Saccharomyces cerevisiae S288C: one gene and its partners. The protein of the gene in region 1 binds, or shares a complex with, the protein of each later gene. Each region holds a gene or a part of one and is shown in the gene's direction. Other genes may lie near its edges. The genes, in order: DCC1, POL2, CTF8 and RFC4.

Region 1 (3,338 bases):
TTTCATTTCCGTGTAGACCTCTCTTTCTGGAATTACATTGCTGAAATGCCTAATAAACAATTTAATATCTTTGCTGAAGTTCTTTGTGGCCGCCTCGTGTCTTGTATATGCTTTGTAGAAATAAGGAATAGTAATGCTGCATGCCTTCAGTACTTCGAGGGAACCGTAAGGGATTGCTGTCTTTAGCGAGTCTAGAAAAATACAATTGATTCTTGTGACTTCATCTATTGTAGGTGGGAAGAGTCGATTTAATTTGGTTGTGGATAACCCATTAATTTCTTCATTGAGTACTCTGACTCTCAAGGCGATCAGGAATTTTTGCAAAAATTCTACCAAATTGAAAGTAAAATTTGTTTGTAGTTGTAATAACTCGTTGCAAATGGCCTTGACAAGATCATCATCCGATTCTGTGGGTAATTCGTCCTCTGGCGCCTTATAACCATATTCTGTCTGTTCCGGTGAGTATTCTGTGACTGGGTTAAAAAGTTGTTCAAGTTGTTCACCCAGATGGAATACCAACCTATTATTTAGTTCGATGGTGGATTCATTGTTTTCATAAATAACATCTAACAGGGTAGAGCTGACAAATCTATTTTGCAGAAGTCCTGATGTAAAGAAGCGCTTCCCCAGATCTTCTGGAGGAACTGCTGTTATCAACTGGCAACTACTAGCCAAATCTCCAGCATAAGGGGGGTCATAGTCGCAATTTTCCGATTTATTGGACAATATTTGTGATAAGTCTGATGGTGAAAGTAATGGATAGCGCTGTAACAGAATGACAGCAATGCATTTCTTAACATTGCTTTCCTGATCACTTGGACTCAAATTCTCAATGGCCGGATAGTATTGCGAGTTGGAAGATATATCGACGGATTCGAAGCATGATGTTCCTAATTTGTCGAATATTATAGCGTTCAACTTATTGCTGTTGGGGGACTTGTACACGCAGACAAAGAACTTCCCCCATATCAAGTCATCTGACCCGTGATAGAATACTGATTGAGTGAACACATTATCCGTCCAGTCTGAAAGTGATTTATCATCATCAAACAATGAATGACCATTTAGCGGTGTGGTCTCGACAACAGATTTGGATAGTTTGATGTTAAATAAGGTTTCATCGTTCTCTTTGTCTTTCTTTTCAGAGTAAAGAGACGACAGGTCTTTCTCCATTGGTGAGGTGTAAATATACTCTTTTAGCAACCAGATAACAGCCCGAACACGTAATGAGTAGCAGGTAGCAGCAGTAGAATGCGAGTACAGACAAACTAGTGTTGTTTTTACTATCCGCAGTGAGAGAAATCTTCCTCATTGAAGATCAAAGCCTTTGTTTACCATTGTTTTTATTTACCTTTTTAGAATTGTTCGAACAAAACCCTAGGTCTTGGCAACTGGCAATCGCTCAACATGACCTAATTTATAGCTTAGGGTTCTTTTTTGTCAATTCTATGCGTATGACAAAGAGCACCACGATGGTGATCGAAATCTCTAGGAGTAGCATACCACAGCGATATTATTTAGTAGTAGGCGGTTTATTATCTTTGTCCCTTTATACTGTTGTGTTTCTTGCTTATTGCTTCAGTAGGCAGCGTATAGTATAACCAGAAAAAAGTGAAAAATAAACTAAAAAAGCACTATGAGATGAACGGTAAAAATCCACCAGAGATTTGCTCACTAATAATCCTGTACCATGTCCATCAACCTACATTCCGCACCCGAGTATGATCCATCTTATAAGCTGATCCAGTTGACACCAGAGTTACTGGATATAATACAGGATCCGGTTCAAAATCACCAGTTAAGGTTTAAGTCATTGGACAAAGACAAGTCTGAAGTTGTACTGTGTTCGCACGACAAGACTTGGGTGCTGAAGCAGCGCAAACATTCAAACACAGTTCTACTAATGAGAGAATTTGTTCCTGAACAACCTATTACTTTCGACGAAACGCTCTTGTTTGGACTGTCCAAGCCGTACATGGACGTCGTGGGATTCGCCAAGACTGAATCAGAATTTGAGACCAGAGAGACACATGGCGAATTGAACTTGAATTCAGTACCAATATACAACGGAGAACTGGATTTCTCCGACAAAATCATGAAGAGGTCATCTACAAAGGTTATCGGGACCCTGGAAGAACTACTTGAGAACTCACCATGTTCTGCGCTAGAAGGTATATCAAAATGGCATAAGATTGGTGGATCTGTGAAAGACGGTGTGTTGTGTATTCTTTCACAAGACTTCCTTTTCAAAGCACTGCATGTACTACTGATGAGCGCAATGGCAGAATCACTCGATCTACAGCATCTGAATGTTGAGGATACACATCACGCTGTGGGGAAGGACATTGAGGACGAGTTCAATCCATACACAAGAGAAATCATTGAAACAGTGCTGAATAAATTTGCTGTTCAAGAGCAAGAGGCTGAAAACAATACGTGGCGCTTGAGAATACCGTTTATAGCTCAGTGGTACGGGATTCAAGCGCTAAGGAAATATGTTTCTGGAATAAGCATGCCAATTGATGAGTTCCTCATCAAGTGGAAGTCCCTTTTCCCACCTTTCTTCCCATGTGACATTGACATTGACATGCTGCGAGGCTATCATTTCAAGCCTACCGATAAGACTGTCCAGTATATAGCGAAAAGCACACTACCAATGGACCCCAAAGAACGGTTTAAAGTCCTGTTTAGGCTACAGTCACAGTGGGACTTGGAGGATATCAAGCCTCTAATTGAAGAACTAAATTCAAGAGGTATGAAAATAGACAGTTTCATCATGAAGTATGCCCGCCGTAAAAGACTGGGCAAAAAGACCGTGGTCACGAGCAGGTAGCACACAAAACTGCCTTCGATGGGCAATGCGAATATATAGCGGAACCACTAAAGTAATAGTGGATGACGTGAATAGCAACAAATATCTATCATAGTAGCTTTATATATTTATATATATTACAATACTATTATGCACCCTATTACCCGCAATAGTTGATAGTGACCTACCAATTTTAGATACGGTCGCTGACAAATAGTAAGGCCATCGCCCAGGGATATATGATGACTATCTAAGTAACTCACTCAGAGTAAAGACCGACAGAGTTCATTAGTGTGTTATATTTTCTATTTCAGATACATCATTTTCATTAAAATATATCGCATACACGAAGGAACTGCTACAACTGGAAGATGTTGAAATCAACTGCTACAAGATCGATAACAAGATTATCTCAAGTTTACAACGTTCCAGCGGCCACATATAGGGCTTGTTTGGTAAGCAGGAGATTCTATTCCCCTCCTGCAGCAGGCGTGAAGTTAGACGACAACTTCTCTCTGGAAACGCA
Region 2 (7,855 bases), on another chromosome or scaffold:
TGGCATGTGTCCCATTGTCAAGGTCATTGAGATTTTCTGGTAATTTCAGATCATCATCTTGAAAATGTCGTAAGACAGCTCTATATTTTTCGTTTTGATCTTCGGAGATGGGTTCCAGTAGAGGTGCGTTACCATACTTGGCAGGAGGGTCCAAGAATATCTTATCACATGGAATAAGTTTCTCTTTAGGCACAGCAGGCGTATGGTCCCGTTTTCTTGAAAAAAGACCCATTTTTGTTCTTCTTCTTGTGCTTTCTTTGTGTGATTTTTCAGGGTCTTTTTTTTTAAACAATGATGTAAATTAAATCTATCTAAAAAGCGTGATTTTTCCCACGAATTTTAATCCCTCTATTGTTCTCTTTCCACTCCATATTGAGTGAAAGGAAAAATAAGAAAAGTAAATAGAAAATTTATGACGTAGGAATAAAAGTATATAAGTATTTAACAAATTGACCGTAGATAATAATAATGCGCATGAAATTAAATCCTCTCTTTGATCTCTTCAATCAAGATCAACCCATTAACCACATTAGAACATTTTGCCAAATGAAGCCATAGACGAATAGGAAGTAATTGCACTTCTTGACGGTCGATTTGCTGATGGAAACGTGTATATCATCGTCTTCAGCACCGGAGCGGCTTAGTAAATTGAACTTGACGGATCTTAGTAGGAATACGCCAAAGGCAATAAATAAGTAAAATTTTATCAAAATATTCAGGTTAAATGGCATGGTCACGTTGGTCAAAAGCTGGGCGAGAATCAATGGAACAAATTTGTAGCCGACATAGCACAACAGTTCGACCAAACTGAAGCTTGGAATCTTAGAATCGATCAAAAGATACAAGCCAAGCTTCAAAATCAACAAATCTAAACACACAAACGCCAGAGTAGAAGACAGTTTGTAGTACAAGTCTTCGGGGTTGAATGAACCCTTCAGACCTTGCTGCGTATTCCAGATGAGAATATAGGTAACTAGTCCCATAATAGGCATGTACATGTCTGGGGAGTTCACGTCATCCCTTGGTGGCAAAAAGTTGCCAGAGTCCATAATTCGTTGCCAGTTCTTGGTTCCGTTAAGAAAAGGAACTAGGATGAGTTTCAATTTATTGATGACATAACGGGTGCTGACTTGAAAATACGTTGAAATTTGTTGAGAGCCGGCAGCGTTTGCAGTGGCTTTATTGACCGTTTCTTGAAACTGGTTAAAGTTATCCTGACCAATAAAATTAGAAAATGCGCTCTGCCCTAGTTGGAATGCCATCGAACCACGAGGATCTTGGAATGGAAAACCACCGCCACTGCCATTTACGTTTGCATTCATATTCGCATTACCTTGGCCATTCACGGGCGTGTTCCTCGGAATTTGCATTGGTCGTTGCTGTTGTGGAGTGTGGGAAAAGCGATCGTTAACGCCATTCTGCTCACTTGTTGCATATGCGTACGGATTATAAGACATCTTGGTATGGGCCTTTGGTTTTCGTTTTCTGCTATTGATACTCAGTAGCGAGGTCTTACAATCGAAAAGTCAAAAAGATGAGTTGTAGTATAAAACAACAGCTCTGGTGTGCAATATGGATCTTGATACAGAGTCTCGGATATGCTGTTTTAGCACTGAGAAAAAGTAATAGTAACACTGTCAGTGTTCGTCAAAGGCCCAAGTTTATTGTCATTTGAATTGTCAGAATGGTTTATTTTCAGGTAGGGTAACCAGAACGCGTAAGTTTCTTGCATCTTTTACCATTTTAACTGGAAGAGGACCTATCAAAAAGAGCATATGATGATGAAAGAGCACATTCTATCAAGATAACACTCTCAGGGGACAAGTATATGATGTTTGGCAAGAAAAAAAACAACGGAGGATCTTCCACTGCAAGATATTCAGCTGGCAACAAGTACAACACACTCTCAAATAATTATGCGCTTAGCGCGCAACAGCTCTTAAATGCTAGTAAGATCGATGACATCGATTCGATGATGGGATTTGAAAGATACGTACCGCCGCAATACAATGGCAGGTTTGATGCGAAGGATATAGATCAGATTCCAGGCCGCGTAGGGTGGCTGACGAACATGCACGCAACGCTGGTCTCTCAGGAAACCTTATCCAGTGGTAGTAATGGCGGCGGCAATTCGAATGACGGAGAACGTGTAACGACCAACCAAGGTATTTCCGGAGTTGACTTCTACTTTTTAGATGAAGAGGGTGGGAGCTTCAAGTCGACAGTTGTCTATGACCCATACTTCTTTATTGCGTGTAACGATGAATCAAGAGTAAATGATGTGGAGGAACTAGTGAAAAAATATCTGGAATCTTGTCTCAAAAGCTTACAAATCATTAGAAAGGAAGATCTTACCATGGACAATCACCTTTTAGGGCTGCAGAAGACACTTATTAAGTTATCATTTGTAAATTCCAATCAGTTATTCGAGGCCAGGAAACTCCTGAGGCCAATCTTGCAGGATAATGCCAATAATAATGTGCAAAGAAATATATATAACGTTGCTGCAAATGGCTCGGAAAAAGTTGACGCCAAACATCTGATCGAAGATATCAGGGAATATGATGTGCCGTATCATGTCCGAGTATCTATAGACAAGGACATTAGAGTCGGTAAATGGTATAAGGTAACTCAACAGGGATTCATTGAAGATACTAGGAAAATTGCATTTGCCGACCCTGTGGTAATGGCATTTGATATAGAAACCACGAAGCCGCCTTTAAAATTCCCGGATTCCGCCGTAGATCAAATAATGATGATTTCGTATATGATCGATGGGGAAGGTTTTTTGATAACAAATAGGGAGATAATCTCTGAGGATATTGAAGACTTTGAGTATACACCGAAACCGGAGTATCCTGGTTTTTTCACCATATTTAACGAAAACGATGAAGTGGCGCTTCTACAAAGGTTTTTTGAACATATAAGAGATGTACGACCCACTGTTATATCCACCTTCAATGGTGACTTTTTCGATTGGCCTTTTATACATAACAGAAGTAAGATTCACGGCTTGGACATGTTCGATGAAATTGGTTTCGCTCCAGATGCTGAAGGTGAGTACAAGTCCTCATACTGCTCTCACATGGATTGTTTCCGTTGGGTGAAGCGTGATTCTTATTTACCACAAGGTTCCCAGGGTTTAAAAGCTGTTACTCAATCTAAGCTAGGTTATAACCCAATTGAACTGGATCCCGAATTAATGACGCCGTATGCATTTGAAAAGCCACAGCACCTTTCCGAATATTCTGTTTCCGATGCAGTCGCTACGTATTACCTTTACATGAAATATGTTCATCCTTTTATCTTTTCCCTTTGTACTATTATTCCTTTGAACCCGGATGAAACATTGAGAAAGGGTACCGGTACTTTGTGTGAAATGTTGTTGATGGTTCAAGCTTATCAACATAATATTCTTCTACCAAATAAGCATACAGATCCCATTGAGAGGTTCTATGATGGACATCTTCTAGAATCCGAGACTTACGTGGGTGGACATGTGGAGTCATTAGAAGCTGGTGTTTTTAGGAGTGATTTGAAGAATGAATTCAAGATAGATCCTTCTGCCATTGATGAATTATTACAAGAATTACCAGAAGCTTTGAAATTTAGTGTGGAAGTTGAAAATAAGTCCAGTGTAGATAAAGTAACGAATTTTGAGGAAATAAAAAACCAGATAACGCAGAAATTATTAGAGTTGAAGGAAAACAATATAAGAAACGAACTACCTTTGATCTATCATGTAGATGTCGCCTCTATGTACCCAAACATCATGACTACAAATAGACTACAACCAGATAGTATCAAAGCAGAGCGCGATTGTGCTAGTTGCGATTTTAATAGACCCGGAAAAACCTGTGCAAGAAAGTTAAAATGGGCTTGGAGAGGAGAATTCTTTCCCAGTAAGATGGATGAGTATAACATGATCAAGCGTGCATTACAAAATGAGACTTTTCCCAACAAAAACAAGTTTTCTAAAAAGAAAGTTTTGACATTTGATGAACTAAGTTACGCAGACCAAGTTATCCACATAAAAAAACGTTTAACTGAATATTCAAGGAAAGTTTATCATAGGGTTAAAGTATCAGAAATTGTCGAACGAGAAGCCATTGTCTGCCAAAGAGAAAATCCATTCTACGTCGATACCGTGAAATCCTTTCGTGATAGGCGTTACGAATTCAAAGGTTTAGCCAAGACTTGGAAGGGAAATCTGTCCAAAATTGACCCATCTGATAAGCATGCGAGAGACGAGGCCAAAAAGATGATTGTGCTTTATGACTCATTACAATTAGCTCACAAAGTTATTTTGAATTCGTTTTATGGGTATGTTATGAGGAAAGGCTCTCGTTGGTATTCCATGGAAATGGCGGGGATTACGTGTTTAACAGGTGCCACGATCATTCAAATGGCGAGAGCTTTAGTAGAAAGGGTAGGAAGACCATTAGAATTAGATACTGATGGTATTTGGTGTATCTTACCAAAATCTTTCCCTGAAACTTACTTTTTTACATTAGAAAATGGTAAAAAGCTTTATCTCTCCTACCCATGTTCCATGCTGAATTACAGAGTTCACCAAAAGTTTACGAATCACCAATACCAAGAATTAAAAGACCCATTGAACTATATATATGAGACGCACAGTGAAAACACGATTTTTTTCGAAGTTGACGGACCATATAAGGCCATGATTTTGCCTAGTTCCAAGGAAGAAGGAAAAGGTATAAAGAAAAGATATGCTGTCTTCAATGAAGACGGCTCACTTGCTGAACTGAAAGGTTTTGAATTGAAGAGGCGTGGTGAATTACAACTAATAAAAAATTTTCAAAGTGATATTTTCAAGGTCTTTTTGGAAGGTGATACATTAGAAGGATGTTACAGTGCTGTAGCAAGCGTATGTAACCGTTGGTTAGATGTTCTTGATTCACATGGTCTTATGTTAGAAGATGAAGACTTGGTCAGTTTGATTTGTGAAAATAGAAGTATGTCAAAAACTTTAAAGGAATATGAAGGGCAAAAATCTACTTCTATTACGACGGCAAGGAGATTGGGGGATTTTTTGGGTGAAGATATGGTAAAAGATAAAGGTCTACAATGTAAATATATTATTAGTTCAAAACCTTTCAATGCACCTGTTACTGAACGAGCCATTCCAGTCGCAATATTTTCAGCGGACATTCCCATCAAAAGGTCTTTTCTGAGGCGATGGACATTAGATCCATCTTTGGAAGATCTGGATATCAGAACCATAATCGATTGGGGTTATTATAGAGAAAGACTTGGATCTGCTATACAAAAGATAATTACTATTCCAGCAGCATTACAAGGGGTTTCCAATCCTGTTCCAAGGGTTGAACATCCAGATTGGCTAAAAAGAAAAATCGCTACAAAGGAGGATAAGTTTAAGCAGACTTCACTAACCAAATTTTTTTCGAAGACAAAGAATGTACCAACAATGGGCAAGATAAAAGATATCGAGGATTTGTTTGAACCAACTGTAGAAGAAGATAACGCCAAAATTAAAATTGCAAGAACTACTAAAAAGAAAGCCGTATCCAAGAGGAAAAGAAATCAGCTTACAAATGAAGAAGATCCACTAGTATTGCCCTCGGAGATTCCTTCCATGGACGAGGACTATGTTGGGTGGCTAAATTATCAAAAAATTAAATGGAAAATCCAAGCAAGAGATAGAAAGCGTCGAGACCAATTATTTGGTAATACAAACAGCTCCCGTGAAAGAAGTGCACTAGGAAGTATGATTAGGAAGCAAGCTGAATCATATGCGAACTCCACTTGGGAGGTCTTACAATACAAGGATTCCGGTGAGCCAGGGGTTTTGGAAGTATTTGTAACAATTAATGGCAAAGTCCAGAACATCACCTTCCATATACCAAAAACTATTTATATGAAATTCAAATCTCAAACAATGCCGCTACAAAAGATTAAGAATTGCCTTATTGAAAAATCTTCTGCATCGTTACCAAATAATCCCAAAACGTCTAATCCAGCAGGCGGTCAGCTATTCAAAATTACTCTACCGGAATCTGTCTTTCTGGAAGAAAAGGAAAACTGCACTAGTATCTTCAACGATGAAAATGTACTTGGTGTATTTGAGGGCACTATCACTCCTCATCAAAGAGCGATCATGGATTTGGGAGCTTCGGTAACGTTCCGCTCAAAAGCAATGGGTGCGTTAGGCAAGGGAATACAGCAGGGTTTTGAAATGAAGGATCTTTCAATGGCGGAAAATGAAAGGTATCTGAGTGGATTTTCAATGGACATTGGCTATTTACTACATTTCCCAACATCAATTGGGTATGAATTTTTTTCATTATTCAAGTCATGGGGAGATACTATTACTATATTAGTTTTGAAACCATCCAACCAGGCTCAGGAAATAAATGCCTCATCATTAGGACAAATATACAAACAAATGTTTGAAAAAAAGAAAGGTAAAATAGAAACATATTCTTACTTGGTTGATATTAAAGAAGATATCAATTTTGAGTTTGTATATTTTACAGATATCTCAAAATTGTACAGAAGACTATCACAGGAAACTACTAAATTAAAAGAAGAAAGAGGTCTGCAGTTTTTACTCTTGTTACAATCTCCGTTTATCACTAAGCTCTTAGGCACAATCCGGCTTCTAAACCAGATGCCCATTGTTAAGCTTTCCTTGAATGAAGTTCTTCTACCCCAATTGAACTGGCAACCGACATTATTGAAGAAACTTGTTAACCACGTTTTATCCAGTGGTTCGTGGATTTCTCACTTGATCAAGTTATCCCAGTATAGTAACATTCCAATCTGTAATTTGAGGCTGGATAGTATGGATTATATTATTGATGTTCTTTATGCAAGAAAACTAAAAAAAGAGAACATCGTGCTTTGGTGGAATGAGAAAGCTCCACTTCCAGATCATGGAGGCATTCAAAATGATTTTGATTTAAATACATCATGGATAATGAATGATTCAGAATTTCCCAAAATTAATAACTCAGGTGTGTATGACAATGTAGTTCTCGATGTTGGTGTTGATAATTTAACAGTGAACACAATTTTGACATCAGCATTAATCAATGATGCTGAAGGCAGTGATCTAGTTAACAATAATATGGGTATAGATGACAAAGATGCCGTTATTAACTCGCCATCTGAATTCGTGCACGACGCCTTTTCTAATGACGCTTTGAATGTTTTAAGAGGTATGTTAAAGGAGTGGTGGGATGAGGCCCTAAAAGAAAATTCAACCGCAGATTTGTTGGTAAATTCCCTGGCAAGTTGGGTTCAAAACCCGAATGCGAAACTATTCGACGGATTACTAAGATATCACGTTCATAACTTAACAAAAAAAGCCTTACTTCAATTAGTAAATGAATTTAGTGCACTTGGCTCAACTATTGTATATGCAGACAGGAATCAAATTCTAATAAAGACAAACAAGTACTCACCTGAAAACTGTTACGCCTACAGCCAATATATGATGAAGGCAGTTAGAACAAATCCAATGTTTAGTTATCTGGACTTAAATATCAAACGTTATTGGGATCTGCTAATATGGATGGATAAGTTTAATTTTAGTGGATTAGCATGTATTGAAATAGAGGAAAAGGAAAATCAGGATTATACCGCTGTTTCGCAATGGCAACTAAAGAAGTTTCTGTCACCAATATATCAGCCCGAATTTGAGGATTGGATGATGATCATATTGGATAGTATGCTAAAGACAAAGCAGAGCTATCTAAAATTGAATTCAGGGACGCAAAGACCTACCCAAATAGTTAATGTAAAAAAACAAGATAAGGAAGATAGTGTTGAAAACTCGTTGAACGGATTTTCTCACCTTTTTTCCAAA
Region 3 (2,692 bases), on another chromosome or scaffold:
TTCATCGCCGAAGAAAAAAATGACAAAAAGTTGAATGAAAAGGATTATTTTAAACAAGAACTAAGGTAAAGTCTCCTTCTGGGAGCAACCCTTACAAGCAACCACACACCCACATACTCAATTGATAATGTCTGCTATCCCAGAAAACGCCAACGTTACCGTCTTAAACAAGAACGAAAAGAAAGCCAGAGAATTGATTGGCAAATTGGGTTTGAAGCAAATCCCAGGTATCATCAGAGTCACTTTCAGGAAGAAGGACAACCAAATCTATGCTATTGAAAAGCCAGAAGTCTTCAGATCTGCCGGTGGTAACTACGTTGTCTTCGGTGAAGCTAAGGTTGACAACTTTACCCAAAAGCTAGCCGCTGCTCAACAACAAGCTCAAGCTAGCGGTATTATGCCATCTAACGAAGACGTCGCTACCAAGTCCCCAGAAGACATCCAAGCTGACATGCAAGCCGCCGCAGAAGGCAGTGTCAACGCCGCAGCAGAAGAAGATGACGAAGAAGGTGAAGTTGATGCCGGTGACTTGAATAAGGATGATATCGAGTTAGTCGTTCAACAAACTAACGTTTCCAAAAACCAAGCCATCAAAGCCCTGAAAGCTCACAATGGTGACTTAGTCAACGCTATCATGTCCTTGTCTAAATAATGATATAAAAATATATTATATAGGGGTACGTAGTTATTCTAACGCAAAATCATTTTGTTTTTTCCTTCTCCGACTGCGAAGGCTGTGCCGGTTGTTTTGCTTCAATGGCGTCTTCTCTTTCCTTTACTTCGTCTATTTTGTGGTTACAGTGAGGACAGATAAAGATGATTGGCTTACTGGCCAATCTGTAGCAATTGGATTTCCAATGACACTGTGGACATATGATTTTTTTGAAGGGAGAGAGCGAACTTGTTGAGTCCAATTCATTACCGCCTGCCAGTACGCTGATGATTTTGTCGAACCATGCATCGCTGTCTTCCTTCTTTAGGCCCTTTACATGGCTTTCCTTCTTAAATTTTTCTAGCTCTGTCTTTAGATTGTTTAATTCTTGGTATTTAGCATTTAATTCATCATCTAGAAGTACCATGGCATCGTCGTTTTGATCTTCACCGGAAGAAAACCGTTGGATGATTGAGCTTGTAGCATTATAGTGGGTCTCTTCCTTTAACTTTTCCAGTTTCTTTTGATGAATTGCACGGAGTTTTGCCAACTTGCGTAACCTATTGTTGTTATAAAATGCATAGAGTTTGGTTAATGCCCATTTGAACAAGATTAGCGAGCCTATGCATAGTAGCGCAGTCACCACAAGGTATGGTCGATAACCATGGTACTCCCAATATGTGTAGCTCAGGGCCAATACCGTTAACGCAATACCATAAAAGGTCAGATTTGATTGCCATTGACTCAAGATGGATTGGCTTTTCTTTAACGCGACATCTAATTGATGGATCTGTGAAGTTATTTGTGATAAATCTGCGGTATACTTCGTCACAAAGTCCTTATCATTGCGAGAGCCTCGGACCCATTTACCTAATGCACTAAACATATTTATGTTATTCTTTTATATCCGATCTCCTCTTTGTATGATTTTTGTTTTCTTAAAATATACATGTCAACGTTAGCATCTTGAATTTCATTTTTCCTTTAATCTTTTTTAGTAAGCTAACCACTAATATAGCCAAAGGAGTGATAGAAAAAAGAATTATCACTATCATTCAGCCCAATAAACAGCTGAAAAGAATGCCTAGTGTAGATATAGATGCTAGTCAATGGCAGAAGTTGACACAGTCAAGAGAAAAGCAGACCACGGTGATAACACCGCTTGGGATGATGATGCTGGAGATTCAAGGTGAACTAGAGTTGCCTAAGGACTTTGCGTCGCTGGCGAGGAGAGATTCTCCAAATGAGGGAAGGTTCAGTGAACAGGACGGCGAAACTTTAATACGATTTGGGTCGTTACAGATTGACGGAGAGAGGGCCACATTGTTTGTCGGCAAGAAACAGCGTTTACTGGGGAAGGTGACAAAGCTAGACGTACCGATGGGTATAATGCATTTCAATTCGAAAGATAATAAGGTCGAATTAGTTGATGTAATGAAATATAAGGTTATCTTTAAGGATAGGCCTCTACCTATTATGTAAGTACTTAGTTATTGTTCGGAGTTGTTTGTTTATGTTATTTGGCGCAGACTTCACGCTCTGTGTAAAGTGTATATATAATAAAACCCAAGAAGAACGGACAAGATGATAGATAAAACCATATTGAACTTGTACTCTTCTTCTTGTTGGGTTGGAACCAATTCATCATCGTATCTGGATCTTTCTTTAACTTTCAAGAAAATTGGAGTTTCATTTGGCTTCACGTTAGGAGGTAATTTATCCTGGTACATTTCTTCCATAAACTGTTCGATCTTGGAGATTTGAATGTTCAATTTTAAGAAATTTGGATCTTGCACAGCCAATTTAGATTTGATATCACGTAAGTAATAGTCAAAAATCTCGACACAGCCACGCAAAGTCCTTGATTTCAAAATTAAATAGCAGGTAGTACCCTTACGAATCTTTACATTGCCATGTAGCACTTCACGGTTGTTGAATACCAAAGCCAAGGTTGCAATGGCCATAACTTGGGGAATGGCACAAAATTGGAAAGTGGATTGCTCGTGGATACCGGCCAAATAAGTCAACACATCGATAACA
Region 4 (3,451 bases), on another chromosome or scaffold:
TGGCAGGGGAGAGATGAATAGGGTCTACTGCTGGTTTTTCCTCATTATCGTACCATAGACATTGACCTAGTAAAATGATATCTGCCACCGTATAGTAAGCAGCAAGAATGATCATGGTAGACAAAAGATGTTGCATAACGGCACCCATAAGGTTAAAGACATCGCCGGCCAACCAAAGTACCACGAACAATAAAGACAGCCCATCAGACGACTTCCGGTAAAAGTTCTCGTAAATTTGAGGGACAAACACAATGATCCAGCAGGAGATGGAGATGGACCCAGATATCCCACTTAGAGTGGATCTATTCAATTCTAGCGGCACAAGTTGCATAATTGAGGTCGTCGAGCGATGTGGTAGCTTTTTTTTTGTATGGCATTCTTTCGTTAGCAGTACATATCATCGCGAAGACGATTAAAGTACGTAGTGAATAAAAAGACGATATGTGAAAAATTGCAATCCGGGTAAAAATAAAAGAGTCATTAAGAGCAAAAATGACCATATTAGAGAATTTACAGGTAAAACACATACAACATCAAAGCAAAATAAGCAAAGAGAAATAAGAAGTATCCTCCCACGGCCCTACATTAGATTTGGACCTCTCGGACACTAAGATTGGTGTTGTTAATATTAAAAAGGGAATGCCATTTAGATTTCGAGTGGAGCCAGTTTCGGCGGCTAATGTCCAAGTACTATGATAAGCATAAACACCCTTTGAAGAACTACTACCAGTTGCGCATGTTTAACCCGTATCTCTGACATCAATATACACCTATTGTAGCTACGGAGACTATTACTATTTTGCTATTCAGTTACTAATAATACTACAGTGATGGCTGCCTATGTGTCCTTTGGAGCTGGCGAAGAGCTTGCGGATTTTGCTTCCGCATCCAGCTTTCTGGGTGGTAAAACGCTTTCAAAGGCATTTTTCCAGTTATGGTCATCAAAGTATTTCAGCATGAGTTGCACGACGTGCGTTGTCGTCAACACTCTTCTGCCTTCGAGATTGATGTACTCGTCAATGGGCAATCTTCGCGTAGGAATGCCCATCTTTTGGGCCTTCTTCAGACACAATTCTTTATAACGATTCTTGTCTACAATGCCGCCAACAATGTATCGCATCCCGGGTTCCAGCTTCTCCAGCTTTTCCTCTGTATCGGCCGTTAAATACACTATTTTGTCCTTACTTATATGCTCATCTCCAAACATGATTTTGTCGTCTGGTAGGAATTTAAAATGGTTCCAGTTTTCATAATTGGTATTTTTCAGAGTAGTTTCAAACCTTTGCTTTAGTCTTTTGTCGAATGGGGCCACCTTTATTTCTGCAAAATGGTTCGCCCTTCTATTCGCGGAGTATGCCCTGGTGACCTGGTTAGACAAGCTTACTATTTCCTTGTCGTTCATTAACTCATCAAAAGAACAGTCAAGTATGATCTCTATCCCAGAATCAGTCTGATTCACATTGATACGAGGCTCTCTAATCAATTCCTGCGGGACCTCTTCTCCCCTGTCAATGTATTCTTGAATCTTCGCACTTCTTTCATGGCGAAGTCTCTTCTTCTTTACACGGCGTTCCGCATTGTATTTGGCTTTATTCTCCTCCCATCTCTGTCTTTTACACATTTTTTTCCATTGCTTTTTAGACATGCCTTCTGGCACAGGCGGTAAAGGTGGTGTTCTTTTCACCTTTTCCTCGTTCTGGTTTATCTCATCATTGGACATGTTGTTTTGCCTGCAGATTGACACTTAATTATTTACCTTGAAAGCTTTACGCTATATTAAACATCACCATCTCTCTTAAAGACAATGAAAATTTTTCATTACCACATCACACTGTTAGATTAAACGCGTTTTTTCTTGACAAAAAGGTGGGAAAACCAACCACATATTTTAAATACTGTAAAATAGTAGCATTTATAAATCTGATTGGATCTATTATAACATTGCAGAGCTTCCCAGAAGATATAAAAAGTCCCTTATAATGTCCAAAACTTTATCTTTGCAACTTCCATGGGTTGAGAAATACCGTCCCCAAGTTTTATCTGATATAGTCGGTAATAAAGAGACCATTGATAGACTTCAGCAAATCGCTAAAGATGGTAACATGCCCCATATGATCATATCAGGTATGCCAGGTATAGGTAAGACCACTTCGGTACATTGCCTTGCTCACGAGCTCCTTGGCCGCTCTTATGCTGACGGTGTTTTAGAGTTGAACGCTTCAGATGACAGAGGTATTGATGTCGTCAGAAACCAAATAAAACATTTTGCCCAGAAGAAACTACATTTGCCTCCAGGGAAACATAAAATCGTTATTCTTGATGAGGCGGATTCCATGACTGCTGGTGCTCAGCAAGCGTTGAGAAGGACCATGGAGCTATATTCGAACTCTACAAGGTTTGCATTTGCTTGTAATCAATCAAACAAGATCATTGAGCCGCTGCAAAGTAGATGTGCGATTTTGAGGTATTCTAAACTATCCGATGAAGACGTTCTAAAACGTCTTTTACAAATCATAAAGCTAGAGGATGTTAAGTATACAAATGATGGGTTAGAAGCAATCATTTTTACAGCGGAGGGTGACATGAGACAGGCCATAAACAATCTACAAAGTACAGTAGCAGGACACGGTTTAGTGAACGCAGACAATGTCTTCAAAATTGTTGATTCTCCTCACCCTCTAATAGTGAAGAAAATGTTACTAGCCTCCAACCTAGAAGATTCAATTCAAATCTTAAGAACAGATCTTTGGAAAAAGGGTTATTCCTCGATTGATATCGTCACAACATCTTTCCGCGTTACCAAAAACTTAGCACAAGTGAAAGAATCAGTAAGATTGGAAATGATAAAAGAAATCGGTTTGACCCATATGAGAATTCTGGAGGGTGTTGGAACGTACTTGCAACTGGCTAGTATGTTAGCGAAAATTCATAAACTAAATAATAAAGCCTGATTTAAATATCCGAAAACTATAAAAAAAACTCCCATATTAGTGCATTACTTTAAATTCTACTTCTTTGTCTTGTCTCTTCCCTTGTGATGTGTCAGAATTTTTTTTTTTTTTTCATTTTTGCACAATTTAAGCTTTAAAGTTGTTTGTTGATCAAAACTTACAACTCGCAGTGCAGTTACATAGTCATAATATGTAGAAAAAATATAGAGAAGGTATACGTCGTTCGTTGAAGACAGATGGACAAGCTAACTCCATCTCAATGGAAGGTAATAAATAAGTCATATGAACCAGCGTCTACGATAAAAGTCATTGCGGGCCCAGGCTCAGGAAAAACGCTAACGCTACTATATAAAGTACTACATTTAATTACTGTGGAGAATATTAAGCCTGAAGAAATACTTATATTTTCGTTAACAAACAAAGCAGTTGATAGTATAATAGAAAATTTACTGTCCATTTTCGAAAACTCGCATACAAATAAGGAAATTGTCCATCAGATT

Evidence for each region.
Region 2: the proteins of DCC1 (region 1) and POL2 are in contact, whole or in part, in a crystal structure (PDB 5OKI), measured with the Saccharomyces cerevisiae proteins. Residues at the interface, in NP_009913.2 of Saccharomyces cerevisiae: Met356 (codon at 2,756), Lys357 (codon at 2,759), Ser360 (codon at 2,768), Met363 (codon at 2,777), Lys364 (codon at 2,780), Arg367 (codon at 2,789), Arg368 (codon at 2,792), Lys369 (codon at 2,795), Arg370 (codon at 2,798), Gly372 (codon at 2,804), Arg380 (codon at 2,828); in NP_014137.1 of Saccharomyces cerevisiae: Glu125 (codon at 2,201), Gly126 (codon at 2,204), Gly127 (codon at 2,207), Val285 (codon at 2,681), Phe320 (codon at 2,786), Asp334 (codon at 2,828), Phe346 (codon at 2,864), Thr348 (codon at 2,870), Phe350 (codon at 2,876), Arg361 (codon at 2,909), Glu364 (codon at 2,918), His365 (codon at 2,921), Asp368 (codon at 2,930), Val369 (codon at 2,933).
Region 3: the proteins of DCC1 (region 1) and CTF8 are in contact, whole or in part, in a crystal structure (PDB 5OKC), measured with the Saccharomyces cerevisiae proteins. Residues at the interface, in NP_009913.2 of Saccharomyces cerevisiae: Ser2 (codon at 1,694), Ile3 (codon at 1,697), Asn4 (codon at 1,700), Leu5 (codon at 1,703), His6 (codon at 1,706), Ser7 (codon at 1,709), Ala8 (codon at 1,712), Pro9 (codon at 1,715), Tyr11 (codon at 1,721), Asp12 (codon at 1,724), Ser14 (codon at 1,730), Tyr15 (codon at 1,733), Lys16 (codon at 1,736), Leu17 (codon at 1,739), Ile18 (codon at 1,742), Gln19 (codon at 1,745), Leu20 (codon at 1,748), Leu25 (codon at 1,763), Ile28 (codon at 1,772), Gln29 (codon at 1,775), Asp30 (codon at 1,778), Pro31 (codon at 1,781), Asn34 (codon at 1,790), His35 (codon at 1,793), Leu37 (codon at 1,799), Arg38 (codon at 1,802), Phe39 (codon at 1,805), Lys40 (codon at 1,808), Ser41 (codon at 1,811), Leu42 (codon at 1,814); in NP_012061.3 of Saccharomyces cerevisiae: Pro2 (codon at 1,736), Ser3 (codon at 1,739), Val4 (codon at 1,742), Asp5 (codon at 1,745), Ile6 (codon at 1,748), Asp7 (codon at 1,751), Ala8 (codon at 1,754), Ser9 (codon at 1,757), Trp11 (codon at 1,763), Gln12 (codon at 1,766), Gln16 (codon at 1,778), Thr23 (codon at 1,799), Ile25 (codon at 1,805), Gly29 (codon at 1,817), Met30 (codon at 1,820), Met31 (codon at 1,823), Met32 (codon at 1,826), Leu33 (codon at 1,829), Glu34 (codon at 1,832), Ile35 (codon at 1,835), Gln36 (codon at 1,838), Gly37 (codon at 1,841), Glu38 (codon at 1,844), Leu39 (codon at 1,847), Leu41 (codon at 1,853), Phe45 (codon at 1,865), Pro54 (codon at 1,892), Asn55 (codon at 1,895), Glu56 (codon at 1,898), Gly57 (codon at 1,901).
Region 4: DCC1 (region 1) and RFC4 share a complex: the UniProt entries of both Saccharomyces cerevisiae proteins name them as parts of the CTF18-RFC complex.

The regions. Positions count from the first base shown.
Region 1 is NC_001135.5:94,116-97,453, reverse strand, and holds DCC1 (Dcc1p), read left to right. Parts: upstream 1-1,690; coding exon 1,691-2,833; downstream 2,834-3,338. Other genes in the region: BUD3 (Bud3p), read right to left, coding at 1-1,173; NFS1 (cysteine desulfurase), read left to right, coding at 3,184-3,338. UniProt on the Saccharomyces cerevisiae protein: Component of the RFC-like complex CTF18-RFC which is required for efficient establishment of chromosome cohesion during S-phase and may load or unload POL30/PCNA.
Region 2 is NC_001146.8:146,384-154,238, forward strand, and holds the start of POL2 (DNA polymerase epsilon catalytic subunit), read left to right. Parts: upstream 1-1,828; coding exon 1,829-7,855. Other genes in the region: PDR17 (phosphatidylinositol transporter), read right to left, coding at 1-232; protein transporter YIF1, read right to left, coding at 513-1,457. UniProt on the Saccharomyces cerevisiae protein: Catalytic component of the DNA polymerase epsilon complex which participates in chromosomal DNA replication.
Region 3 is NC_001140.6:485,672-488,363, reverse strand, and holds CTF8 (Ctf8p), read left to right. Parts: upstream 1-1,732; coding exon 1,733-2,134; downstream 2,135-2,692. Other genes in the region: EGD2 (Egd2p), read left to right, coding at 128-652; LNP1 (Lnp1p), read right to left, coding at 702-1,538; ERG9 (bifunctional farnesyl-diphosphate farnesyltransferase/squalene synthase), read right to left, coding at 2,185-2,692. UniProt on the Saccharomyces cerevisiae protein: Essential for the fidelity of chromosome transmission. Required for the DNA replication block checkpoint.
Region 4 is NC_001147.6:141,084-144,534, reverse strand, and holds RFC4 (replication factor C subunit 4), read left to right. Parts: upstream 1-1,979; coding exon 1,980-2,951; downstream 2,952-3,451. Other genes in the region: YPQ1 (cationic amino acid transporter), read right to left, coding at 1-331; TRM10 (tRNA (guanine(9)-N(1))-methyltransferase), read right to left, coding at 839-1,720; HMI1 (ATP-dependent 3'-5' DNA helicase), read left to right, coding at 3,188-3,451. UniProt on the Saccharomyces cerevisiae protein: Component of ATP-dependent clamp loader (RFC and RFC-like) complexes for DNA clamps, such as the POL30/PCNA homotrimer and the checkpoint clamp DDC1:MEC3:RAD17 complex.